4 linked regions of the Daphnia pulex genome follow. The protein of the gene in region 3 interacts with the protein of the main gene of each other region in a pairwise test. Links are inferred from orthologs where the notes say so. Each region holds a gene or a part of one and is shown on either strand. Other genes may lie near its edges. The genes, in order: F-box/WD repeat-containing protein 1A-like, S-phase kinase-associated protein 2-like, S-phase kinase-associated protein 1-like and F-box/SPRY domain-containing protein 1-like.

The links.
Region 1: the proteins of S-phase kinase-associated protein 1-like (region 3) and F-box/WD repeat-containing protein 1A-like interact in a two-hybrid assay, tested with the Drosophila melanogaster proteins (3 studies listed by BioGRID). The link is inferred for Daphnia pulex from reciprocal best matches to the Drosophila melanogaster genes SkpA and slmb.
Region 2: the proteins of S-phase kinase-associated protein 1-like (region 3) and S-phase kinase-associated protein 2-like interact in a two-hybrid assay, tested with the Drosophila melanogaster proteins (2 studies listed by BioGRID). The link is inferred for Daphnia pulex from reciprocal best matches to the Drosophila melanogaster genes SkpA and Skp2.
Region 4: the proteins of S-phase kinase-associated protein 1-like (region 3) and F-box/SPRY domain-containing protein 1-like interact in a two-hybrid assay, tested with the Drosophila melanogaster proteins (2 studies listed by BioGRID). The link is inferred for Daphnia pulex from reciprocal best matches to the Drosophila melanogaster genes SkpA and Fsn.

Annotation. Positions count from the first base shown.
Region 1 is NC_060024.1:7,565,569-7,569,840, reverse strand, and holds the start of F-box/WD repeat-containing protein 1A-like, read left to right. Parts: upstream 1-1,472; 5' UTR 1,473-1,891; coding exon 1,892-1,936; intron 1,937-2,156; coding exon 2,157-2,267; intron 2,268-2,329; coding exon 2,330-2,438; intron 2,439-2,501; coding exon 2,502-2,641; intron 2,642-2,704; coding exon 2,705-3,016; intron 3,017-3,076; coding exon 3,077-3,190; intron 3,191-3,244; coding exon 3,245-3,322; intron 3,323-3,386; coding exon 3,387-3,649; intron 3,650-3,715; coding exon 3,716-3,787; intron 3,788-3,862; coding exon 3,863-3,980; intron 3,981-4,047; coding exon 4,048-4,218; 3' UTR 4,219-4,272.
Region 2 is NC_060018.1:4,259,041-4,266,877, forward strand, and holds S-phase kinase-associated protein 2-like, read left to right. Parts: upstream 1-3,140; 5' UTR 3,141-3,369; coding exon 3,370-3,885; intron 3,886-3,952; coding exon 3,953-4,055; intron 4,056-4,115; coding exon 4,116-4,424; intron 4,425-4,488; coding exon 4,489-4,651; intron 4,652-4,716; coding exon 4,717-4,900; 3' UTR 4,901-4,956; downstream 4,957-7,837. Other genes in the region: peptide chain release factor 1-like, mitochondrial, read right to left, coding at 4,989-5,321, 5,387-5,488, 5,560-5,708, 5,769-5,991, 6,050-6,132, 6,188-6,545; cyanocobalamin reductase / alkylcobalamin dealkylase-like, read left to right, coding at 6,893-6,970, 7,062-7,256, 7,322-7,409, 7,489-7,559, 7,624-7,746, 7,816-7,837.
Region 3 is NC_060019.1:12,030,187-12,037,528, reverse strand, and holds S-phase kinase-associated protein 1-like, read left to right. Parts: upstream 1-1,260; 5' UTR 1,261-1,287; coding exon 1,288-1,418; intron 1,419-1,667; coding exon 1,668-1,798; intron 1,799-1,945; coding exon 1,946-2,154; intron 2,155-2,254; coding exon 2,255-2,431; 3' UTR 2,432-2,524; downstream 2,525-7,342. Other genes in the region: heat shock protein 90-2-like, read right to left, coding at 26-33; GATOR complex protein WDR59-like, read left to right, coding at 3,253-3,263, 3,550-3,613, 3,693-3,742, 3,861-3,996, 4,058-4,262, 4,332-4,615, 4,730-4,880, 4,945-5,024 and 9 more.
Region 4 is NC_060023.1:5,713,416-5,721,078, reverse strand, and holds F-box/SPRY domain-containing protein 1-like, read left to right. Parts: upstream 1-2,847; 5' UTR 2,848-2,943; coding exon 2,944-3,047; intron 3,048-3,167; coding exon 3,168-3,406; intron 3,407-3,476; coding exon 3,477-3,574; intron 3,575-3,637; coding exon 3,638-3,769; intron 3,770-3,827; coding exon 3,828-4,013; 3' UTR 4,014-4,511; downstream 4,512-7,663. Other genes in the region: transcription factor Dp-1-like, read right to left, coding at 34-285, 348-578, 639-801, 861-1,162, 1,230-1,327, 1,405-1,462; WD repeat-containing protein 44-like, read right to left, coding at 5,519-5,829, 5,917-6,044. UniProt on the Drosophila melanogaster protein: Required in the presynaptic motoneuron to down-regulate the levels of wnd and restrain synaptic terminal growth at the neuromuscular junction (NMJ). Negatively regulates the localization of vas to the posterior pole of the oocyte.

The sequences.
Region 1 (4,272 bases), on a different chromosome or scaffold from region 3:
CTCAGATATGGTTAAATGAAGACAAAATTGCGCATTAAGTAAACTGGAATCCCCCCCCCCCCCTCTCCCGAAAGCACGGTCTTGTGGAATTTGGATAAGGAAACAGAAAGATAGAATTTGCCTCTGGAAAAGTAAAAACTTGAACCTCTTGGCTCTTGCATTGTTGCATATGGAGTGCGGTGATTGCACGATGCAGTGATGTCTAGCTGGCTATCTGCCTACAATTGTTTCCAATTTAGAACGACAGATGGCCAAGCTTGAAAAAATTTAACATTTTCTTTTATTTGCATCATTTTCATCGGAATTCTTACCTGCAAGCGCATCATCAAGGTTACCTAAAACCACTTCCGCCTTGAGTTTAGTCATATCTCTTTCACCCAACTGAATTACTGAAGGATGTTAACATACGATTACACCATAACCCATAAGGATATATAATAAGAACCCAATCTGGATGCTTGATGCTACAGCAAGAAAGGATAATGTCGCAACCACTGTTGATGACTCGATGGTGCCGTAAAATTGTGATTGCGAAATATTTTACTTTTAGTTTGCGCAAATATACTTTTCCTGCTTTAGATACTTGTTGACTTAACAGCAATAAAATGAGTGAATCGCTTTCTTATATGATGCGCTTAGAGTAAAGAATTGGAAATTTTCTTCGTGTTGATAAGAAGAGAGAAAACTTTATTTTAGCACAGGTTATTCAAGCGGGACAAACTTTCTACGAGCTTTCACTCTCGAGTCTCGACCTTCTGCCGGTGAAGCGAGTCTCGTCTCGCTTTCTTTTTACCACGTTTTAAATGCAGGAACGCTTCGACTAGCGACCTACAAATCTCATTATTTGGCTATGGCCAATATTCAACTTGGTCAATGATGCCAGTGTTTGGTTCTAGCCTTATTTTATTTATTTTATAATTGACAAAAGAGAACTGGATAACTCCTCTCTTCGCAGAAGTGCGCCATTTGTTCAACCGGTACGTTTTCCAGGTTATGAAATCGTGAAATCCGATCGTGTTCTACTATATACCACAATAATCATGCGATCGGACGAAGCCTGTTGATCGAGCACAAACTTGATGACTGCTAGCTAGGGTACGGCTGAATTGCTTCGACATCAAATAAAGTGAAAACGGCAGACCTGACTTGTTAGCTTCTCAATTTGGGAAATTTGAAAAATAAACCATTTTGTTAAGATAAATGTATTGTGAAATAGTTGTACATGAATTCATCGAATTTTATAAAAAAATGTTGAATTAAAGTATTACATTCTTTCAAACTTATTTCGTTTTCTAGGATTCATTGATGGTTGATTACTTTAACCATTGGCATCTTCTATAAGTTAGTGTAAAGAAATTTTCATTAAGAAAAGTTCTAATAGTTAATTGCCAAAAAATGAACATTAATGCTACTTTTTACTAATTCGGCAGTAAATCTCATTTGTCTCATTCTCACCGACTTCTCGGAATCTCGGTTCCTTTATCGACAACTCGACATAAAGGAAATTGTGCAATGTTGTGCACTGCAAGTCATCACAAAAGAGAAATTAGCGCACATCTTCTATTGTTGGAAATACAGTTAGCGCCACAGTGTTCAAATCGCCAAGCTTAGTGCTCACAACATAGTGACTCCAAGTCTCAGGTCCAACCAGTCGCAGGTTTTAGGGGGTTTAGACTCTAGACTGTTAGGTAACCCCGCCCCTTGGCTGCATTAAACAAGAAAAGTTCGAAACATGGACACCGTAGTCCGGAGCGCTAGCTGCGTTACATTTATGTCAGTTTGCCAGTCTCGAACGAACCTAGTGTAGAGGAAGTGGGGTTGGGGAAGAGAAAGACTTTTGTAGTATTTGGTATTGTCAATTTGCTGTGAAATAAGTGAGGAAGGAAGTGAAATGGAAGCTGAAAACATCGTGGAAGATGTTCCACCAGCGATTGGGGTAAAATCGTGCTCGCTAAATTCGTTCTTTAAGTTGAAGAAAAGCCTTGAATAAATCCAGAAGAAGAGACAGTGCTACTGGGAATGGCAGCCATGTTGGAGGCCTAATTTCAATATTTCCTTGTCAACTTCCGAGATTTGTCCTTGGTTCTTCTTTGCTCGTCGTTAGTGTTGTTATGCATATTTCTCAATAGCTGAAGTGTTTTGTGCATTCATTCTAGGCAAATACGATGCTCAGCCTTGTACGAAGCCGTTCCGAACTATCGTCCAATTACCTAGTTGAAAAGGAACCTTGTCTCAAGTGCTTTGATTCTTGGCCAGAATCTGATCAGGTGTGAAGACTATTTTTATTCTAGTTTATAATCATGTTCCTTTAACAATAATTGTTTCCCAGGTGGAATTCGTGGAGCAGTTATTGCAGCGAATGTGTCACTACCAACACGGCCACATTAACTCGTTTTTGCAACCAATGCTTCAACGAGATTTTATATCATTCTTGCCCAGTAATTCATGGAAAACAAAATTTGAAATAGTACAAATTAAACTAATTTTTATTTGAAATTTAGAAAAAGGTTTAGACCATATAGCAGAAAATATTTTAAGTTACCTGGATGATAGTAGTCTTAGAAATGCTGAACTAGTCTGCAAAGAATGGAGACGTGTGATTGCAGATGGAATGTTATGGAAAAAACTCATTGAAAGAAAAGTATATCTTTAAAATTATGAGTATAAGTTTGAAAACAAAATTTTAAAAATCTCTTTATAACAGGTACGAACAGATTCTCTATGGAGAGGCTTGAGTGAACGACGAGGATGGGGAGCCTATCTTTTCAAACCCCGTCCTGGTGAACAACAGCCAGATCATTCCTTTTACAGAAAGTTATATCCACGCATCCTTAAGGACATTGAACAAATTGAAAACAACTGGCGGTGTGGAAGACATACACTGCAACGGATAAACTGTAGATCAGAAAATTCGAAGGGTGTTTACTGCCTCCAGTATGATGACCGACGAATTGTCTCTGGGTTGAGAGATAATACCATAAAGATTTGGGATCGACAAACTCTCCAATGTGCAAAAGTTGGTTTTCATTAGTTTGCGAGATTTAATTACTTGTTTATTTATTGATTTACCTTGAAGGTTCTTACTGGACATACGGGATCCGTACTTTGTTTACAGTACGATGAGCGCGTGATAATTAGCGGATCGTCTGATTCAACTGTCAGAGTGTGGGATCTCAACAACGGGGAAATGGTACGTTAATTAAATCATTTTATAAAAAGCATTATTAATATTACCCATTTTAAGGTCAACACACTCATTCACCACTGTGAAGCCGTCCTTCATTTACGGTTTGCTCATGGACTCATGGTTACGTGTTCCAAGGTAACTTTAAAAGCTTGTAAAAATAGCATTTGTAAATATTTATGTGGCCTTTTAAATCTTTCAGGACCGAAGTATTGCTGTGTGGGATATGGTGAGTCCCACTGAAATTAACCTCCGTCGTGTGCTTGTTGGTCATCGTGCAGCTGTGAACGTTGTTGACTTTGATGACAAGTACATTGTCTCTGCCTCGGGTGATCGAACCATCAAGGTGTGGTCTACAGCAACCTGTGAGTTTGTTCGGACATTAAACGGACACAAGCGTGGCATTGCCTGCTTGCAATACAGGGACAGATTAGTCGTCTCTGGATCATCCGATAATTCTATTAGGTAAATGCCTTCAGCTTAACAATTTCTTGTAGATCTCATTTTCATTTTGTTGTAATGATCTTGCAGGTTGTGGGATATTGAATGTGGCGCTTGCATACGCGTACTGGAAGGTCACGAAGAATTAGTTAGATGTATCAGGTAAAGCATGAGTAACGATTCCCAAAATGATTATTACCATTTTTATTTATTGTCGGATGATTTTAAATGATTCAGGTTCGATTCCAAACGCATCGTAAGTGGAGCCTACGATGGAAAAATCAAAGTTTGGGATTTACAAGCGGCGCTAGACCCCAGAGCACCAGCTGGGACCCTTTGCCTTCGAACCCTCGTGGTATTATTCACTTTTAACATCTTGGTTAAAAATAATCCCTTAACTATTTTACACACGAACATTTTAGGAACATACCGGTCGAGTTTTTCGACTGCAGTTTGATGAGTTCCAGATCGTAAGCTCTTCTCATGACGACACGATCCTCATTTGGGACTTTCTTCACACAGATTCGCCTTCTAGTTTAACGCCATCATCACGTACCTCACCCCAGCGCACTTACACTTACGTGTCGATGTAAAAGCCCCTCTAGGTCGTGGAAAAGAGATACAGGCATCTAACTGAAGGGGTTAGC
Region 2 (7,837 bases), on a different chromosome or scaffold from region 3:
TTTCAGCTTCAGTTACAAAATTAGAAATCTCTACAAAATCTGCAAAGTCTTGATTACTGACTACATGAGTATCAATGAAGTAGTCATCAAGATAGACTGAACGAGAAGGAGACTCCCCATCAGCTACAAAGACTGGTTCATCTGTTCCAATTTCATATACTCCACCTCTCACCATAACCATTCCTTCATGAGTATTTGCAGCACAGGAACCTTCAGAAAGATTTTCTGGTTCTTTTACTGATGGCTGAGATTTCCCATGAAAGCAGTCACCATTGGCAAAGCTAAGATTGATGTCTGAAACCAATATGAAAATCCAGAAAATTTCCAAAAATGAACTTTGCATTCTCCAAATTTCATCCTATAGTGGTCAATAAAAGAAGAAACACAAATAAAATTGAAATTTCAAGACTAAAGATGGTTTCAAGCCAATCATAATTTTACTATTTTAAATCAGACAAAAAATTGACAGCTACCCAAAGCTCGTAACCTATATGTTCAGAAAAATGGATACTATTCTTACATATATCTATAGAGTAGCTATAATTTTGAATCTAATAATTACGAATACAATACAGAAGAAGATTGATTATAGCATACACAACGACGACTTTGTTGTCTATGATTATAGCGTTCGTGATAAAATTCGAACCTCATGTCACGCATGGATGTTAAATGGGTTAAAGCAACCGTAAGAAACCTCAATTTCACAGTTGCATAACCTTGAATGTGTACTCAAGTGTACGCTAGAGGGCATCAGAAAACCTTTTTTGTCAACAAATGAAGTAGTGACTTTCCTGTTTCTTCTACTCTGATGCTTCGAATTATTTTTATTGGATTACTGTGATAATAATGGATCGTTCTGGGGTTACTTCTGGTAAAAAATTTCATAATTTTTGCCCAAATTATACTGAACTCTTTATTTTTATTAGCCAACAGTTACCTCAGAGGGGTCTCTGTAAAGATTAGCGAAAAGTACCGACCTCCTCGTAGACCCACACTTCCGCCTGGATTATGCTTCGAACCTTCTCCTCATTTATTTTCTGATAATGTATGAATTGATCCAATTTAAAAAATGATCAAAGATCACCTTATGTGTTGTTCTTTAGATTGACCTCATTGATGAAGTAAGTGCATTGAAGCTGATAGCCTCAATGAGAGATCTACATACACAGGAGACTACAAGAAGAAAGCAAAGTGTATCTGCATTTTTAGAGAGTCAAGCTGCTGTCGATGAGAAGGAAATTGAAGAGATCACTTCAGACCTTTCCTTGAACAGTCTTACTAACAACATTCCCTCACTAAGTGTTCTCAACTTGCAAGCAAGGAATGGGCAATTGCTACAACATACTCAGGCTTCCATGGAAGTCCTTACTCCAATTCAAAGCTCGACTGTGGAAATCAAGAAGAAAGAAAACATGTCTGCTATCAATCTAGCTGAATTTGAGAGTTATTCAACAAATCCTTTTGAGGAAATGGAATTAAAGACCTTGAATGACAAAGAAGAATTAGCCATGTTGCTCCAACCCAGCCCTCAGCCATCTTATGGACTACAGTATCAGAACTATAACCCATCAACAATTCCATCTTGGACTGAAAATGTACATATTATTTTATATTATTTTTCTTATTTTAGTTTTTATTTTTCACTAAAGAAAATAAAATATAATTTTTATTTTAGAGACATCAACCTGTGCGTCAATATGAAGCTGCAGCAAATTGGATTCCCAATGAAAGTTCATTCTTTAGTGTTGACAAGCTATCTCATGGGAACATCGCTATACCTGTAGAATTCCAAAATCAAGCAATCTCACATAAAAACTTACGTCAAGCTAAAAGTGTCCCAGACCTCTCTGACGTAAGTTTTGGGACGGGAGAAACCCCTATAAATAAACCGCCATTTACAGGTGTGACGGACAAAAGACTCAGTTCTCGCACTCCCCCTCCTCGTTTAACATCAGATTCTATAAAAAGACCAGTGCCTAAACCAAACTTTGATGTTGCATCTCCGTATGAAAGGAAACTGAACGCAATCGAAAAACGTTTAGTCCAGCAGCTACAAGATATGGGATTTGTGAGAGAAAATGCAGTTCGTGCTATTGCTCGACTTGGTGCCAACGAAAAGGATGTTGTTGATCAGCTTTTACTAATACAGAAACTGGAAGAATCGGGCCATTCCATTGAGAGAATAGAAACGGCTTTAGACGTTCTTAAGCCCTGTAAGGAATTACCAACGCAATTAGAACATCATTTAGTGTTAGTTGATCAGTTGTCTGCTTTAGGATTTGAACACGGTAAGATTAGCTCTGCGCTTGTTGCTGCTGGACACGATCGCGATAAAGCCTTGGATATTCTTTTGTTAAAGTAAATTACATTAAAATCATACGATGTTTATTTAGTTTTTTTTTTTCGTGTTCTTATGTCCTCAAGTCAATCAATATTTTTTTGTTCTTCGATAAGTATAAAAATCCAAATGTCAACGATTCTGTACTTAGTCTTCACCTTTTTTCTGCTGGAATAAATTGACATATGACATTATTCAACCTAATCAAATTGTCAAAGTGTGGTTAATAAAACACCAACCAAACAAATACTTTTGCGCGAAACGACTCGGGGTTTGGTTAATGAATAAATATACACGTTGGCGACATCGATGTCATTGCATAAATTAAAAGTTATTGATTCCGTAGCTATAGACATCTGTGATCATTCTGTCGGTTCACTCAGTTGTATTTGTATTGAATCTTTTTTGAAATTCGCTTCCTCCCTGGTCCCTTAAACTGGTTCCTGGATCCTAAGCAGAAGTAATTAGAATATTTCTATTACTCATTAGTCATTACTCTGTTCAAAGTTTCCTAAGTAACTTAATGTTAAAGTTTTAATAATATTCTTAATGTTAAAGTTATAATAATCAGTTAAAATATTCTACAAACAGGCATCATCGCATTGACACAGGCAAATTTGAATTCCCGCCGTCTTTGCCATACTTATTTTTTTCTAAATTGAATATTTTTCTTTCCTTACTAAATAATTTCGTTACTTTAGTATTAAAAGTAACTTTGGTTAAAATCTGTGGTAAATTTTAAGATTTTTGCTTACATTATTTTTTAAATTTCCGAAATGAATTGTTGAACGGTCAACATCGGATTCCACAGACAGTGTCTTTTTAGCGCGCGACGTGACGAGTTTGGACGTTGCTGATTGTAGATTTTTCTTTTACACGTTTTCAATATAAACGCAGTAATTAGTTTGAAGTGCCTTTTGGTTAAACATTTCAGCTCAATAATTGTTTCCAGTACGCTTTTATGTACCAAAATTTTTATTAATTCTCTCCCTTTGTTGATTTCGTCGTTTGCCCCGTTGCTACAAAATATGGCTAAGTTAAATACCGGGTTTAAACGGTGGAGTCTTGATTGCCATGACGTATCGATAGAAGTCATGGAAGATCTAGGATTATCTGCAATGGACGATGATTCAAACTCCTGTAGCAATCCATCAGTAAAACAAGTAGTGATCTCCAATATTCCTGAACCTGCTGTAAAGCGAAAAGAATGTTCACCTTTTGCTGTCCCGTCAGCTGTAATGGATTTTTCTGAAGATGACCAATCTAGTGATAGCTTTTTATTGTCTAAACGAATGAGGATGGATGGTCCCCCAGGAATTGATGGATTCTCACGCCTCTCAGACGAAGTCATTCTCAGCATATTTAAATGGCTTCCAAAATCAACTATCGCCAAATGTGCTCAGGTGTCAAAGCGTTGGAAACGACTGTGTTATGATGAAGTTTTATGGAGGAGGTTGGACCTTAGTGGCACCTGCCTAAAACCTACGATTCTAGGTAGTGTTCTTTTAAGAGGAGCACACATCTTGAGGCTAGCTAAGACTGAGGTAATTAACTTTTGTTTGTTTCTTTGTTATCAACTACTAATATTTAATTTTTCTAAACAATGTACAGATTTGTGATCCAATATATCCAGTAAGTCCTCTACTTCAAGAATTTCCAAGGTATCGAAATTTGCAATTTTTGGATTTGAGCATGGCATCTATTTCAACACAAGGTAATCTCACCAAGTCATAATTTATAGGAATAAGGGTACAAATTTGGACATATTATGCAGGTTTATTTGATTTATTTGATACTTGTAAAAACCTGAAGAAACTTAGTATGGAACATTGTGTTGTTGATGAAAGAGCATGCAAGGCACTAAGTCAAAATGAGCAGCTTGAAGTGCTGAATATGTCCATGTGTTATGGTGTTGGAGTTAGTGAACTTAAATGGATTGTGAATGGATGTAAGAAACTTGACAGTTGGAATTTAGCTTGGACAGACTTGAATTCTGAAGCTCTTCAGTTGATTAGTACATCTGCACCAAAATCCTTAGAACGCATAAATATCAGTGGTTGTCGAACGACACTTAAAGACGAACGTAAGTTTGTAATGTTGACTGGAAATTTGTGATCATTAAAGTTGAATGCCGAATTTTATGTTAGATGTCCTGGCCTTGTGTCAACGTTGTCCAAAGCTGGTGGAATTAGACATAAGCGACTCCACAGCAGTGACATCAATTTGTGTCAGCTATATTCATGATAATTTAAAGCGACTGGAATATTTGGCGATGGCTCGATGTTACAACGTGCCTCTCTCCGTGTATTTGTAAGTAACATTGGCGTTAGAGAGCAAAATTTGAAAGATATTTTAATCATTTCTATTTCCTTTAGGGTGTTTCAAAAGAGTGGTCTTTTATACCTTGACATTTTTGGTTTATTGACGGAGACTATGCTTGGAACACTTCGCGCCAAACTTCCGAGTATAGAAATCAACAAGTTTTATTTCTCTAGTGTAGCAAGACCTACAGTCGGAATTCGACGTACCTCAATTTGGGGGATGAAAGTCAGAGAGTGAAAAATTCAAGTCATGTTTATTGCAAAAATTAGTAATACATATTGATGTATTCAAAACTGGTAAAACAATTTATTGGCATTCAGCGGACTTAAACTTTAATTTTTTCTAAAAATTCAAATACGCGTTCCTTGTATGACTCTTCCTTTAGTTTTCCTATGAGCACATGAAATGGCCTTGCGCCTCGTAAAAATTCCCCTAAGTTATGACTAGTGAAATTTATTCGATGGTCTGTGATACGATCTTGCGGGAAGTTGTAAGTCCGTATTTTTTCTGAGCGACCGCTAGATCCTACCTGCAGCTTACGACTTGACCGAGTAGTTGCCAACTGTTGGTCGATTTTCATTTGGAAAAGACGAGCTCTGATTTTATCCATTGCAACCTTACGATTCTGCATTTGCGATCTTTGTGTCTGACATTCCGCCTAATTAAAAATGTAAAACATTTAATTGTTGATGAGAAATACTTCAGTTAGTTCGGTAAACTTACCACTACACCTGAGGGTAAATGGACAATTCGCACTGCTGATTCAGTTGTATTTACATGTTGTCCACCTGCGCCGCTTGCTCTTTTTGTTTCGATTTTAAGATCCTTAAAAAAAAGAAGAAAAAAAATGTTAGTCATGCATTCAAGGAAACAGAATTAAGTATTAGTAAACTTACTTTCTGTTCAATGGTCACGGAAACTTCCGAAGGGCGGGGAAGGATGGCAACGGCTACCGTACTGGTATGAACACGTCCGGCCTTTTCAGTTTTGGGCACCCGCTGGACCCGGTGTACTCCACTTTCAAACTGCAGTCGATCATATGCGTCTGAGAAAAAAGTAGGTAGTTGTATCTAATATATTAAACTAAATTTTTGAAAAGACATACCTGAATTATTAATGCAAATTGCAGCATGCCTAATACCTTCTAAATCACTTTTTTCAATATCTGTTAATTCATAGTCCCATCCTTCACTTTCACAGTATGTGATGTACATTTGTAATATTTCATTGCAAAACAACATGGACTCTTGCCCACCAACTCCGGCAGAGAATTCCATGATTATTCCCTCAGTTTGATGATTATCTTCCTGCAAAATGAGTTCTAACACCTAAATCAATGAATGGGTTCTTATCAATCATTTAAACTTGATTACTCTGAATTTATACTTCATTTTGGATCTGGACTAGGATTTCCTTTAACTGTGAAAATTCTTCACTGACCATTTTTGCAAGGTCACCATTTTTATCATCTAAGATACACTATTTAATATAGATTTTTAAATAAATATAACTAGATACACCTACCATCTGCACTCAAAGCTTTAAGCTCTTGTAGATCATTTTCAGTCTGTAATAGTTTTTCCCCTAATCCAGCAAGTGATTGGATGCGTTGTTTGTTTACTACACCTATTCCAGACTTTGATTCAATGTTTTGAAATCCTGATTCATCAAACTTTTTCTTGATATTTAATAAGAAAATTCGAAGTCTCGGGTCAAATATATTTTCGAATGATACTTGATTGAGATTTAAACTCCTATGTGAAATGGTTTGATTCAAACAGCGAATGGATATTACATTATTAGCATAGCTTTTGGCGAAACACGGTCGTCGTAAGGCACTTAGAACTCGTACTATTTTACTGGAAATACCCCAAGTTACCATTTTTAATGACTAAACTTTGATGGTAATTTGAATATATTTTCAACGTCTTCAAAATCAAAATCACAGTGAATCGCAGTGAATCCTTTTTGACGGTAGCAGACGACACTGGAATCTTGTTGATTGGTGAGTCAACTGTTTAGAAAAACCTGAAGGTGAGTTTAAAGAGTTGTTGTTTTGAAATTTGATTCACGCAGTGTGAATTCGTGAAACATGCGTGTGCGCGGGATTGATTTACACAATTAAACCGATCATACGTTGGAGATAAAAAAAATATCCTCTGCCCGTTATAGGCTAGTATATGCATCGCACACAAATATCTCTATGGCACTCTGTTAGTAATCGACAAAATGACTACGTTATTCGAAGTTAACACAAAGCTTACAGAATGTTTACATGATTTTGGGTTAGAATGCCACCCATTCAAGGTAATTTTTATTTTGCTTCTTTGTGTAGTAATTATTTTATGCAATATTTTTTTAACTTCTAATTAGAGTTAAATGCATTTCTTTATTATAGGTTGGATGGTACAATGAACGAGTGAAATCTGGCTTTCAATTAGAACACCATGAAGACACACTTTGTTTTGTGGTGATAAGTAGTCCTTCATTTTTCGAAAAAGGCTTTATACCATTTGTTCGTAACAATACTGGAAGCAATAATCAGGATTACCTTGATCAAGCCATAAGCTCTTGTCTTAAAACAGCAATTCAGGTTTTATTTGATTAAATAACATTGTTTTTTATTTATTAGTTTATCACTCTATTATCTTTGTGTAGTCAATTCCAGGCTATGATATTAGTATTCTCCATGATTATGAGATGAGACCAGGAACAAGAAGACCAAAAGTTCTTGTTCAAACAGCAGGCTTGTTCAAATTATTGCTTATATACCATTATTCAATTATGCTTATTATTCAAATTCAATTCATTGCTTGTTCAAACAGGCCACGTCTCAGGTGCTGTTTATTTTTATCAGAAAACAGATGTGATCAATTCTCCCTGGCTAACTGACCAGGTAAACTAAGGGTGAATATTACCTTGATGTTATATTATTTGTAATGTTTTTGGCATCCATTTAGCCAATTTATGGTGTTTGCCTACATCCCAGCTATATGGGATGGTTTGCCTTAAGAGCAGTTATCATATTCCAGAAAGTCTTGGTCCCTGATTTAGTCTATAAACCACCGAAAGATATTCTTATGGTATTATTTTATTTTAATCCTTGTGTATCCTCAGAATGTACGATTTAACGAGTATCTATTACTTTTAAGGATGAAACCAAGAAAATTGAAC
Region 3 (7,342 bases):
GAACTTTTCAAATTTCTCAACTTACATATCCATGAGAGTGAGTCATTCTTGTTGGGGACAATCTTGATTTTAAGATCCTTGCCGCTATCCAACTTGCTTGGGTCAGTCAGGGATTCATAATGGATCTTGTCTAGGGCATCTGAGCAGTTGGAGATCAACTATAGAAGGTGTTGATAATCAAGCTCATAAGCTGAGCAATCTTGGCCTGGAATGTCATAGTCTCAGCTTCATCTTCCATTTGATCTTCTCCAGGCATCTAAAAAGGGAAAGGAAAATATTTCAGTAAGAAATGTTTGTCAATTGTGGTAGATTGCACTCACAAATTGAAATTCTACATACTATCTATGGACTTGAGGCATACCAAAAAATGTGTAAAAAACCAATTTGTTTGTCTAAACCAGTAGTAAAACTGGTAAAACTTACTTTGCTTTTAAACGTAAACAAACAAACCCGACGCTTTTCTGTTCACGTTTGGTGGGGATCTACATGTATACAAGGCCGCCGGGCAGTCGTAAAAACTGCCACCAAATTCGCTTCTTGTTAGGCCTGCAAACTATAGCTTTGGGTTGACACACATCAAGCCGGGAAAGTGAGCCCGTTCGACTTTGAATCGCTGTGTAAAAAATACAGCTATTAGTATATCTTCATGTGATCCATTTTGAAGACCTTTCTTTGTTTAATCTCTTTCATACAAAAATTTTCATGATAAGTAACACATTTACGTAAATTTTGTATTAATGTTTAGTGTCGTTTTGAATTTGCAGTTTGAATTGCAGCGGTGGCGTTTCGAAACTGAGCCCCGTTTGACTTAGAATCGCTGTTTTAAAAAATGAATATATTATATCTTCGTAAAATGTGATCCATTTTAAAGAGATTTCTTTTTTAAATCTAATGCCTACAAAAATTTGCGTGATTGGTGTCACAATTACGTAAATTTAAGTGTCTAATTACTGCAATTGAATTTTGCAGTTTGAATTGCAGCGGTGGCGTGTCGAAACTGAGCCTCCTTCGACTGTGACTAGAATCCCTACGGGAAACTGCGCATGGCGCCATGGCTTGGAAAAAATATTTTGGGGATTTGGCCATCTCGAATTGTGCAAAACCGGAGAGAGAAAAAAATCAGTTAATTGGTTTTATATATTGCCATTTGCCAACAAAAAGAAATGTAGAATACACAGAAGTCAAAACTCAAAAATCTCGAAAACTGGAAAAGAACACGTTTTTCATAAAAACCGCTTTAACATGACTGTTGGTATACTTTCGCCCCTTCCCCTCCGAGTGTATACTATGCGATGCGAAAGTTGCAGTGATGTTTTCCATCACAGAGCGAAACAGGGAGGAGAGGAGGGTTCATTTTTACTGAACATTTTTCAGACCAGCACCAGCGCCATTTGCTCTAGAGCAACCTTTATAGAAAAGTACGTAATTTGCTTAATTTTTTGTTGAACTCCAAGCTTAATTTTCTCAACATTATTACAATACGGACTAGAGAGTTAGAAACTCGAAAATGTACCCATAATGTTTGAGATAATTCCCATAATGATGTGATTTTCTTGACTGTTATTTTTGTTTGGAATGTGTGTGCTGGTTCTCCTGAGGGCTTGATCCATTCATTGTTCTTTGCTGCTGGACTTTTGGTTATCAAAAAGTTTTTTTGTGTATTTCAGTTTTCAGAGAACAAACACAATTCACACAATGCCAAACATCAAGCTGCAGAGTTCCGATGGAGAAACATTTGAGGTTGATGTCGAAATTGCCAAGTGTTCAGTAACAATCAAAACAATGCTTGAGGATCTAGGTAATATTTTTCAATAAGCTTAATGTTAATGTAACAAATAAAATCAAAAGTTGCACCACAAAGATATTTATAGGCAAATGCGTCATTATTTTCTTTTCAAATGCTTAAAAAAGGTAACGTTCAATTGAAATTCAATTTTGGTTTTAGGAATGGATGAAGATGACGAAGAAGTTGTTCCTTTACCCAATGTCAATTCTGCTATTCTACGTAAAGTAATTCAGTGGGCAACTTACCACAAAGATGACCCCCCACCACCAGAGGATGATGACAATAAGGAAAAACGTACTGATGATATCTCATCATGGGATGCTGATTTCCTCAAAGTAGATCAAGGAACTCTGTTTGAACTCATCTTGGTAAGTGTTCATTTTCTGATATCACACCTATGAAAACATTCTACAATTGTTTTAAGTTAAAAATGTTAGTGAAATGTAATGTACATATTTTTGTTTTTAGGCTGCCAATTATCTGGATATTAAAGGCTTGCTGGATGTTACTTGCAAGACTGTTGCAAACATGATCAAGGGGAAAACCCCAGAAGAGATTCGCAAGACCTTCAACATCAAGAACGATTTCACCCCTAGTGAGGAAGAGCAAGTACGCAAGGAGAACGAGTGGTGCGAAGAAAAGTAAATTATCTCGACGAAATTTTGTTTTCACATGTTACATGTACCTTTGTATCCAACTTCATGTTTTCAAGCCAAGAATACAATAAATTAAAAAGCAGTTTTAAGTGTATAGTCAAACAAAAGAACAAGTTGTACGAAGTTCCGTAGTGCACTGGTGAATTAACTGTATGTTTTAAAACAGCTCGTGCTTTAGACAACCTCCCGTTTTGCCAATTATAATGTACAAGTTTTGGTTTTTTTGTGTGTGTGTGTGTGTGTGTGTGTCAGTGTGTTGAACACTGCATTATTTTTAGATTTTGTTTCGTTAGATGGTCTCCTGAAAATGAGCATATCAAGAAAAAGATAAAGGGACTCGCGGATTATATCCGGGCTTAGCTACTAGAAATGCTTTGCAAGTTAGACACCATCATTGGTTTTCATAGGTAGATGATAGGCATGATACCTTGACGGCTTGACCATTAATTTTATAATTTTCCCTGCATACGTTTTGTATGCATAATATGTAGTGTTTCTTATAATGTGCATAGATTGCATTTTCTTCGTAGAAATAATTGTTCACGGGAAGTCGGAAGAAAATGTTCACTGGTGCGTGCTGATGGTTGCCGAAAGTCTATTTAAAAATTAACTATAGATTTTAACTTAAAATGATCAGTAGTATTATTATGTAAGGGTCATGAGATGATGAGACATTGATTGAATCACCACTCCGGAATGCGGAAGCATTCTCAATAAGTTCCTTTGAATCGAATCGAATCGATTTGAATTCGAAAAAAAAAAAAAAAAAATCCTTGAATCGTCTGCTACTTGCTTGCGCGTTACGCCCTCATGAATTTTCGGTTCGTCTGTTCTGTTTATATTTTCTTCTTTCAACTTTTTCTATTTCTACTCCTCAATTTAAAAAAAGTAATCAAATAATTAGATTTAATGAAGTTTGTAAATTTAATACTAATTATAATGGAAAAATGGTGTTCTCAAATGGGAATTTTATTCAATAATATAGGCTAAGTCACCTAACTGAGATTTTCTCTACTCTGTCTTTGAAATGACATTATCTTTGTGTTTGTGTTTCAATTTCTGAGCTTTCAGTTTACTTGTTTTTTAATGTCTTCAATTTTTTCTTAGGGAGAAGAAAATGGCAGCCAAATGGAGTAATGAATATGTAGTTGCTGAACATAAGGATCTACAGGTAATAATACTGTTTTAATTTTGTTTTTTTTTACTTTACAAACAAAAATAAATAATAACAAGTGGGTTCTTTCATTTAGGCAAGCACAATGGCTCTTGATAGTTCTGGACAATATGTGCTATTGGCTGGGTAAATAAATTTTTGAATAACTCATTTAATAATTTTGATATGATTGAAGCACTCTTTGACATTCCAATTCATTCATAATTTATTAATTGTTTTTTGTTTTTATATTTTACTCTTCAAGACGAAGGTGCTTAGCAATTGTTGATGTTGACAATCCATCAGTAGTGATAAAGAAGTTTCCTCGTCAAAGCAAATGGGAGGTTGGATCAGCTGAATGGAATCCACACTCACATCTTTCACACCTATGTGCCATATCGGTATTTGTACTACTTCAATGTTGCATTTACCATGCAGATTTTTGAACAGTTTCTGTTATAGAGCAATCAACGAACAGAGATTCTTTCATGGAATTCTATTGACTTCACACCTCTCTATTGTTTACGTTTCCACACGCGTGCAGTCAGCGATTTAAATTGGCATCATTTTGAACCTTATCTCTTGGCTTCCTGTTCAGTTGACACTTATATTAACATATGGGATATTCGAGACCCTCGAAAGCCATGCGTTTCCCTCTCTGCCGTAGGTAAAATAAAATGGGACAAAATTTAGTATAATACAAATAGGATCTGTATAGTCTAAATATTGTTTACAGTTGGAGCTACTCAAGTGCGATGGAACCGCGTTACCAGCCATTTACTAGCAACTGCTCATGAGGGAGACGTTCGACTATGGGACTGGCGGAAAGGGAGTTCCCCCGTGCAATACATTGCGGCACATTTGCACAAAATTCATGGGCTTGACTGGAGTGCTAACCAAGAATATCAGCTTGCTACTTCCAGTCAAGATTGTACTGTTAAATTCTTTGACGTAAACAATCCCCGTGTAGTCGAGAATGCCCTTAGAACCGTGTCTCCGGTTTGGCGAGCGCGATTTACTGTAAATATGACAATTTCTTAATTTTTTTTTTTTTTTTTTAGTTATTTGTGTGTGATAAATCAATAGTTAATAGAACTACTAATTAACGATATTTTTTTTCTTTTGCCTGTATAGCCCTTTGGCGATGGCATGATGACAACACAATTACGACGAGGAGAAAACAGTTTGCTACTTTGGAGTCTATCCGATTTGTCTAATCCGGTTCATTCGTTTCTTGGGAATAACGATCTAGTTCTTGAGTTTGATTGGAAATCTTCCCGTTCCGGTATAATCAAACGTTCAAATTTAAATTTTTGGACTTTGAAATTATTTGATTTTTATATGTTTAGATGACGACGACTATCAACTTATCACCTGGTCAAAAGATCAGAGCTTACGAATTTGGAGAGTGGATGTTAACCTTCAAAAAGTAGGGCGAATTCAAATTTCAATTATTTTTCTGGTTTATGTAAAAAAATATTTAAAAATATTCTTTTTGCCAGTTATGTGGCTATGAACCTGAAAATCAACCACAAATCGTATATGAAGAAAACGAATCGACTTATGACGTTACTGGTGACATAAATTCATTAATTATTAGCATGAAAAATCTGTTTTATATTGTATTATTTAATTATTTAATATGTTCAGCTGTTGACGCAATTTCAACAAAAAGCGACAAAGACATTGAAGTTGGGCTTGAAGTAGTGGAAGAAACCTATTTAGACCTTCACCATAGTTTGGCACCGTCTATAATTGTACCTGACTCGTTACGCCTAGCTGGACATAAAACTGTAGCAGCCTCTATAGCTGCAGCACAAGCTGTACTAACCAACACGTTATCACCAACATCCCATCGGAAAAAGAAGTCTGCGCTGTCAATAAACAGTAGCATCGTCGGAATAGATGCGATTTCTCAACCTGAACATTATTCATTCAACAAGGAAATCGACCAACTTAAGTCATTAGGTAAATTTATGTCCCAAATGAACTATTAGTAATTAACTGAATACGTAAACTTTTCCCTGGAATAAATTTGTGGTTATTTTTCTGTTTCTTCAGGTTCCATTGGTACTGATAACTCTATCAGTGTTTGCGATGTAGACGAGACACAACGAAGCTTAACAACAGTGATTCGCACTGCAAAGCATCAAATAATACTTCATATTTCTATGCCTCCATCGTATCCCGACGGAGCGATTCCAAATTTTCTATTCGGAAAAGGAACGACTATTGACAACAATGCCAGAAGCAAAATGTTAAAAGTATTTCGAGAGAGTTTATTCTTGCGTAACTCAAAAGATTTATTTGACACGGCGGCATTGTACAGGTTTTGAAACAAGCAGCAACTCTATCGTGCCGCAAAGGTCATCCGTCTATAGAGCTCGTGCTACAACAACTTCTAATTTCAGTCGATCAGTTAACACCAATTGATAAGTCAGAAACGGAATCGTCAAAGACCATAACATTGAATGTCAACTCATCAACTACCGGAAATACTCCTTTCAGGTAACATTTAATTCGTATTTAGTTACTTAGATGAAACGTATATTCAATATGCTACTAAACATAATTAACGAATCTGTTTTCTAGGTTACCGCAAACTGGTCTTGGGCATCCTGGTTTCCTACAGAATGGCGGTTTATTTGGTAGTCTAACTCATCATCAAGACCACAATATTCCATACCCTCGGTCATCCGGTGCTCGATTTTGCAGTGCTGGTAATGTCATTAAAACAAAAAACATAAAAATATCCTTCAGCAAACTGCTATATTGATTTGCCCTTGTTTTATTTTATACAGGTATGCTGATTTGTTTTGGTCGACCATCCTATTTAAGGTTTTTGATTAATTGAAATGATTAATCGTACGACTAGGAATTCATCAGTTCTATTTTATTTATATAATTGAAGGCGTGTGAACAGTAAAACTTCGGACACTTCAACTACACCTCGTTCTCTATCCGTGAACCAAGCTTATTCATCAAACTTGGTACAGCATAGCTTGGTAGCTTCATCAAATACGACTCCTTATGGATTGTTGTATCCGCCCGTTGCTCAAAGTCCGACCGGTGATCCGTCAGTCAGCATCTCGTCTTTTTATAACCAAGACAGGGTAGGCTATACTTGGAAGTATTTCCGTGATTGCTGACATTAGCCTTTTATTAATGAGATAATTCCATTGCTGATTAAATAACAAAATATTTTGTAATTCATTCAGAGACAGAAATCTCGAACTTCTAAGTCGAAAAATAGACTTTCCTCTTATAGCTCGTCTTCAGACGAAAATAAAAGGGGAGCTCAAGAGGCACGTCATCATAAGGTGGTCGGAATGGTGACGATTTACGATGCTTCTGGATTGATGCCACAGCAGTTAGAATTAGCAGAAAGATATGTGTTAGTTTATCTTTTATATATTTTCTTGTATAATAATTCCTTGAATCAGATTTAGTCATAGTTTCATTACATATTTTTATTCACCAGATTTAGCGATACTGATACGGCATGGATGTGCAACCAAAATGCAGCGGTTGCTGCGCAGTTTGGCAGAAAAGATTTGACTTACATTTGGTCGTTGGGTGCCCTTCTGGCAACTCCTACCTTGATACACGAAAATAATACCAATGACCTTGATACCCCATGGGCTCAAAATCCATTCGGCCGGAAGCTTCTTCATGCGATGTATGTATATGTGTATTTATTTGATCTCTTTAGCGTATACTTAAAACAACACACCAACATTATAATTT
Region 4 (7,663 bases), on a different chromosome or scaffold from region 3:
AGATAAACTTTAAAAATAAAAGAACAAAAATACCTTGGCGAGATTCTCTTCAGTACAAGTGGCCTCGTTAAGCCCAAGGGCCATGCCCATTCGCTTAAGGACTTCAATATCATCATGAATTTCGAAAGTATCATCAAAGGTGAAGAGATACTCCATCTTATCGCTAGATATGGAGCAGTCAATCACTGTTTTCTTGCTAGTATTTACGACCAAAAATGGTAGCTGTATGGTAGAATTACTGGCAGGGCCACCGTGAAGACGCTCATTTTGCTTGTTTCTTTGAACCTAAAGGTAAACAAGACGTGTCAGTAAAATGTTTCTGTTTTACTAGAAAAAACATTAACAACCAAGCTCTTGAAGGCGATCTGCTGAAGGACCAATTCTTGCAATTGTTGCGTCTTTTGCTTAATTCTTTCTAGCCGACGTTGCTTCTCCGCTTCCAGTGCCTGGAATTCTTGCAACGAATTTGTAGGTAAACCAAGCCACTTGATCTCTTTTTTCTCTTTCGATATGATGTTCATGGCCATGAGCACATTCAGTGCATCGTAAACCCGACGCCGAATATTTTTTTGGTCATACTGTCAATAAATTAACATTATTTCACTGATAAAAAGATGAATTTCTAATACGATACTAACTTGGTCAGCAGGTGAAGTGCAACGAGATGGATCAGTGAATTCAGCTACAAGTTCATCAGCAACCTCATTGTATGTTGTAGTACCCTTCTTCTGAACCTTTTCACACACCTTCATCGAGAAATGACGTAATCCTTTGCCTCCTTTGTCTACCTTACGCCGTTTACTATTAAAAATGAGTTTACTCATAAAACTACTCATTTGAAAAATAAAATGAAAAGTTACCTCTCAGAACCATGTTCATGGTCAGGATCTTGCCTTTTTCGTGAACCACTGTGATCAAGAATTGGGGAAATGAAGTTTTTGCCCTGTTGTTGTTGCTGATTTAAGCGTTGAGGAGTGCTCAACACAACAGGCACTACTGGTAACTGTACAGCAGTGTTTTTGTTACTCGGAGTAGATCCATTTCCTGATGATAATGGTATGGCTAGTATCTGTCCAGCTGCCACTTGTCCACGAGGTCCAGGTGCTCTTGTCACTCTGCCAAGTGACTGCAACATCTGAGGTGTGGCAGCCAAAACGGTTCCCTAAACAAATTTTCAGCCAACATTGTTAACATCTTTTACATTTTATTCAAGCACATCCTTGACTTACATTAGATCGCAGAACAGCTCTAACTGCTCCAGAAGCCATGGACACTGGAACACCTTTTCCAGCAGTGGCATGCACCACTTTTATCATTTGTGGCTGACCTGGAATGCAAACAACCATCATTTTATTATCTTGTTGAAAAGAATGAGATAATTTCTTAGTCTAGACTTTGACATACCATTTGCATCTTGGATCCAAATGTTGGTGATGTTTCCAGTTGGGGTTGACTGTGCCATCTCCTTAACCTCTTGTAAATTTATTTATATTATTTAACTGTAAAGAGAAGAGATCAAGGAAGATCCAATGTGCTGACAATGTTTTGTCAAACAAGCATCTTTGGTGGGTGGGACCAAAAGTATGATCAACTGAGCGCCGTTATAATTCGAACTTCCTGTCAAATTACAGATATCATCAAATTTCATATAGAACTATGATAGAATCTAAATAGACTAAAATGGAAATTCCCCGTATTTATTCCTCCAAATGATTTCAGAACACGATGAGCGAAATGGCGCCCAAAACGCCATCACCAGTCGATACCCCACACCGGTAAGTTTTCCCCCTTATTTTAAGATTTTTGCAGACATCTTCACTTAAACTTTCCAAGCTCAATGACAAATAGTATCCTCCTTTATTATCTAATTCACTTTATGAATAAAAAATAAAAATCCCCTCAATCCAAAACAAAAGAGACAATAGGGTTTACCTAAGGTTCTGGGCCAACTTTATACGATCGTCACTAGACACACACTGCTGTAGCATCAGCAGGCAGCTAGGCAAAAATGCACGAGGGGGTGATGATGGCACAGCAGGCCAACGGCTTAGTTTTTATTATATTTTTTTTTTCTTTATTTTTTCGTCCGGGGGGTTTACTGAGTGAGCGTCTTATATGTACGTCATATGAGACTGGGATTCAATTCAATTCTAACTTCTCCATGAGTTCGCTTTCTATCTATCGCAATTTGCAATGAAAAAAAAATCGATACTTTCAACGGGCAGAAATTCGAAATTCAAACAAACTCGTGACCTTGGGTCGTTGGGTGAGAACAAAAATATGAACAAATGATTTTCGATTTTCCTTGCTCGTTTAATTTCTCCTTTTCTCTTTTTCAAATATTCATGTAAAATACTAAGTAGCGCTAAAACATGAAGGAGAAAGAGGAAATTAATTAAGCGCAGGCAAGTGTTCAGCGATTTCGTTATTTTATTTTATTAATTTCTGAAATATATTTTTTTTATTTCGCTCTTTTAAATTGGTCTATTTTTTTAATTTGGCTGTTAATACAGTTATCGTAATAAATGTATCGTAATAACTAAGTGCTAATTTGATTAATTTCATGGGAAAAGCGTTAAATTTTTATTGAAATCGAGCATGAATATGAATGAAATCATAAATCAGAAGGCTAAGTAAAATCAAACGTCGTCTGCTTTTCCGGATACGCGGGAACCATTTCAAACATAAACTAAAATATTATTTTATCTTAAAAACTAGTAAAAAAGTAGTTTGATATTAATATATCGTTTTTTCACAGGTGTAATTCAGTGTTTTATCAAGTTGTTTAGATTCTCATAATTTTTGTTCGGTTTTCTTATTTCAGATCAATTGCTATGGCAATGTGGCAACACCGGTTCTGCCATAGAAGTATTGTCAATTGCAGAAAAAATCGAAAGAAATTTCCTAAATGAATGTTGAAGTGTTTGCGAGCCGGCGTTTAGAATGCACGTGGATATACTACCAGATATTATACTAGGAAATATTTTCTCATATTTGCCGCTGCAGGATTTAAGAAGCAGTTCGTTGGTGTGCAAACGGTGGTACAGGTACAAGTTTTCTTGAAATCAACACCAGTTTGTGACTATTCGCTAGTGATCTACCGTTGCTAACAAAACCAGCGATTGTTTGAAACTTATGTTCTCCTTGCACATTATTATTTGAATCAGTATACTGAATGATGAGGACAATGATGTCTGGAGACTGCACTGCATACGAAAACTGGCAGAAGAAGTCCTGAGCTCAGACCTCCTATCTTCCGCTCCTACCTACAAAACAAAATTAAAAGCATTTCACCATGCTTGGAACCCAGAAGACTGCTCTAGAAACATTTATATCAAACCCAATGGTTTTACCATACACAGAAACCCTGTTGCACAGAGTACAGATGCTGTGAGAGGTAAAATTGGTGAGTACTAAATATTGTAGATGCCTGTTGCAAGTGTACATATTAATCCATTCAACTAATGTTTGTGCAGGATTCAGTCAAGGTAGGCATGCCTGGGAAGTGATGTGGGAAGGTCCTCTTGGAACAGTTGCAGTTGTTGGAATTGCAACTAAAGAAGCAACTCTCCAGGTATAATTGTGTTAAAATTTGAATATTTTATCTAAAAATAATTGTCAAAATCCATGTTCACAGACACATGGATACATAGCTTTACTAGGATCAGATGACCAAAGTTGGGGTTGGAATTTGGTTGATAATCATTTACTTCATAATGGAGATTCCCAAGGCAATTACCCAATGCTGAACAATGCACCTAAATACCAAGTGATTGAGTCTAACCAATGAATGAGTTGAATCAACCTAACCTAAAGTTTTGTTGCAGGTTGGGGAGCGGATACGAGTCATTCTTGACTGTGATGACAATACATTAGCTTTCGAAAGAAACTATGAATTCCTCGGAGTGGCGTTTAGGGGCTTACCAGAGAAGCTCTTATACCCTTCGGTGTCGGCAGTCTATGGGCACACAGAAGTCTCAATGGTCTACCTGGGTCCTCCCTTGGATGGCTAACTGTCGCCTGTCCCCCTCTCCTAAACAGAAAATTTCTTTGTGTGAATCAATTTCTACAGGCAAATGCGTTTTGCCAACCAAGAAAGGATGTTGTTGTAAAAGAATCCCAAAATTCAGTGTACAAAGGTTGCGTTGGGAATACCGCTCTGACTTAAAACATTCCCGTATTTTCCCATTCTTCATTTATTTATTATTTTTTTTTTTTTCATGATTTCCCTGGTGTGTGTCAGATTATTGTAGTGTGTTACAATTCAAATTTCGTGTGGTTGTGTTTTCACGTTCAACCGAAAACCAACAAATGGTTAATCGTCCGGTCTGACTGCTACTTGCGAAATAGATTTGTATAACTTAAAATTTCCCTGTGTATGTTTGTATGACTTGGGACTGGTGATGATGCTAAAGAATAACTGAACCTCTTACTGCCCAAAGTTTGGCGTTTTGAATAAAAAAATCTAATTCGTGTTTAATTACTCGAATAAATGAAAAATGACTTGTCTACACTGCCTTTATTTAATTTTATAAATAAGCATTATTCAAACACTTAAAGGTGTTAACCAATGAGTAAGGAATCAGGTTTTCTAAGTACTCCTACATTTACCATCGTATACGAATGGATTCGATCGTTTAGGTTTTTTCTAGCCTCATTACTACTTCATGTGTGATTTTTTCTCTTCTAACGCTTCTAACTGAGAAATGTACTGATGGGCACTTGGATCCTAGATTTCTAGCAACATATTGGTCAAAAACTGTCTTGAAGGTCAAACAAAAAAGTTTGTTTAACTGTATTTCCATTACGCTCATCAAATCGAACGACGATCGAGTAAAGGCTTTAATGGTTTTTCGCATGTTGAATTAATCAAAGCGCAAAAGCAATATCATTCCAAAAATAGGTCAAAATCAAAGAAAGTTTCGTCCCCTCTTTTATGGTTTATTGTGTACGTTGACCTTCATCAACCTCATAAAGCGAAGTGTAAGTGTCATGTACCACCGGAATTTTCAGTTCTATTCGATTCACAAGCAAAGACAGCTGGTCATTTCCTCCCCATTTTCAATTTCTATTTGTACATCGCCTTAGGGGTTCCAAACCCTAAGGTAGGTGGATTGGATATTCTATTGTGTGACCAACAAAACACGTTTTCCGTCGATTTACTTTCGACCAAAAAAAAAAAAAAATCCTTGTGACGGGAATTCTGTTGCGCTGCCCAATGGCAATCCGCAAGAAAGGACAACATTGAATGCCTCTACCATCTAGCGTCAAAAATGAAGAGCGGTTCAAACAGGAAGAGTTTTCTGAATTAAATAATCACGCACTCGATAATCGGAGGCGTGTATTCATTGCCATAAATGAATGGGCATGCTAAATTATTATATAGTTTCTTTGGGTTGCGCGATAATTTCATAATTTCCAAACTGAACCATATTTATCTGTTGTCGTCACGTCGACTGAGAAGAACGACTACATTGTCGATTGAAATTTTCCAAGCCGTTCGACTATTTTTCTCTTTTTAGGACATTGCAGAAACGGGCAAAGAACTATGCTTCGGTTTGACTCGATTGACGAACACTTTAATGCAGCCGTTGAAATCCGCGCTGACAAGAACGTAGCCGTTGCCGGAAGAGGCTCCTCCTTCCACATTTGAGTTTGGTTTCGCTCCATCGGCTGTCGCCGATCCCGCTAATCGCCGACCCATCAACGCATCTCCTGATAACGAGGAAGCTTTTTCCTCTTCCTTCTCTCTTCGATGTCGCTCCATTTGCTCAATCAGTGAATGCGAATCAGGTGCGAAAACGGCCGATGTCACCACTGCATTGTGCGCTGTCGTAAATAGATGCAGAAAAGTCGATTATTCAATTTGAAAGAGAATTAATTTACAAGAAAATGGTAGTGATTAGGTAATAGTACCTTTGATGGCTTCCCAATAATCGTTGCGATCTCGACGAGCCGAAGAGAATTTGGCGTAATCATGATGTGTCTTCCACATGTAAATGTACTGATTCTCTGAACCGCTAATGATGTACTTGCCATCGTGACTAAAATTCAATTACAACATAGAAAATGATTAAATTCATTTCATTTCGGAAAATAAAAAGAAAAGAAAAGAAACTGAAGCGTAATTTAGGGCTCATTTTGTCCAGTGTGTCTAGGATGTCATAATTTATTAAAAATCTTTACGGACCCCCCCCCCCCCTTCGAATTGACGATTTATGACGTCATACGCACTAGTCAATAGGGATGCATACCAAAGAATGTTATACAATCATAGTCCATAGACGGATAGACCTACGGTGTAATGTAACATTCTAGAGAAAGTAAAATCCGCTGAAAATAATTTATCATTAGCGTGTCGTCCGGCTTAAACCATGGGCTTAGAGAGACCATGGGTATGGAGAGACTCCATAGTCCATACCCCTGGAGAAACGAACTTAGCGGTACGAATTAAAATGAAAGAATTTGGCAACGTTGACACATATTTCAGCGTTCCGTGTCACGACTGTTTGATAAGAAAACTAGAGAAGATAAGCTACAGCGATTGAAAGTGAGATAACTATTAACTGTGGAATAGATGAGTTTTTTTTAACTATAGAAATGTTATGCTAATTTATTCAAGTCTTGGTAATTAATTAAACTTTTGGATCATTCAACAATAGGAGCCATCTGGACCAAGTACTTCCACGCCGAGCGTGGAATCTCCGCCTCAGTATTTGTACCACTACACAAACTACGACAACCTCAGGAAAATTCTCAAGGACGGCAAAGTTATACAGTCCAATGCCAAAACGGCTTATGTTAACGGATCGGGTGTTTATTTGACTTCACTGGCACCGGAGTCTGGTCGAAATCGTATTTGGTGGAACAACAAAGGCGGCCGATCAAATTTTAGCGAGATATTTTTGGAGTTGCATCCGGAGGCCATACGCATTGAATGTTATTTAAAGTTTGATACAGATCGTCTGAGATCAAACGTCAAATTTCTCAAAGACACCGAACAACGAGGTCGGGATGTGTGGAAATTGGAAGAAGACATTCTCCTACAAGGGCCTGATACGTGGTACACATTTGGATTTATTGACGAACGAGGGCGGATTATGGCTAAACTCAATCAGATGCACGGGAAAGATGGATGGAAGCATTCTATCAAAGAATTGGAAATAGGTAAATTCCGACAAATCTCTCAATTTTATTCGCAATACAATCTACTACGTATGTCTTTGAAAGACTCTGCCCAAGAAACGGCGAACGGTTATTATTCCGCAATCGCTAATTCCATTATTCGGATGGAATTGAAAGATGGTACCTATCATGAAGACATTGGAACTGGCTATGCAGAAGGTCTATCATCTATGGCTACCATTCTAAAAATCCAAGCCAAAGAAGTAATGTTCACTTTTTCGTTTAAATGTAACATATTAAGAAGAAAGTAAAGATTTGGGTTTCTTTCGAGTAGAATGCCATTGTAGATGGTTTAAAACGCGCAGCGCAATATTTTGGTTTTGCGGAAGATTTTGGAGGAACACCTCGTACTCCACTGAAGAAATACGAGGGCACTCCACAAAAGGTAGGTAAAAAACTAGAATCAAATTACATGAAATTCGCGAACGTTAATTTATCATTCAACTGGTGACTAACAAATAGGAAACTCCTACGATGA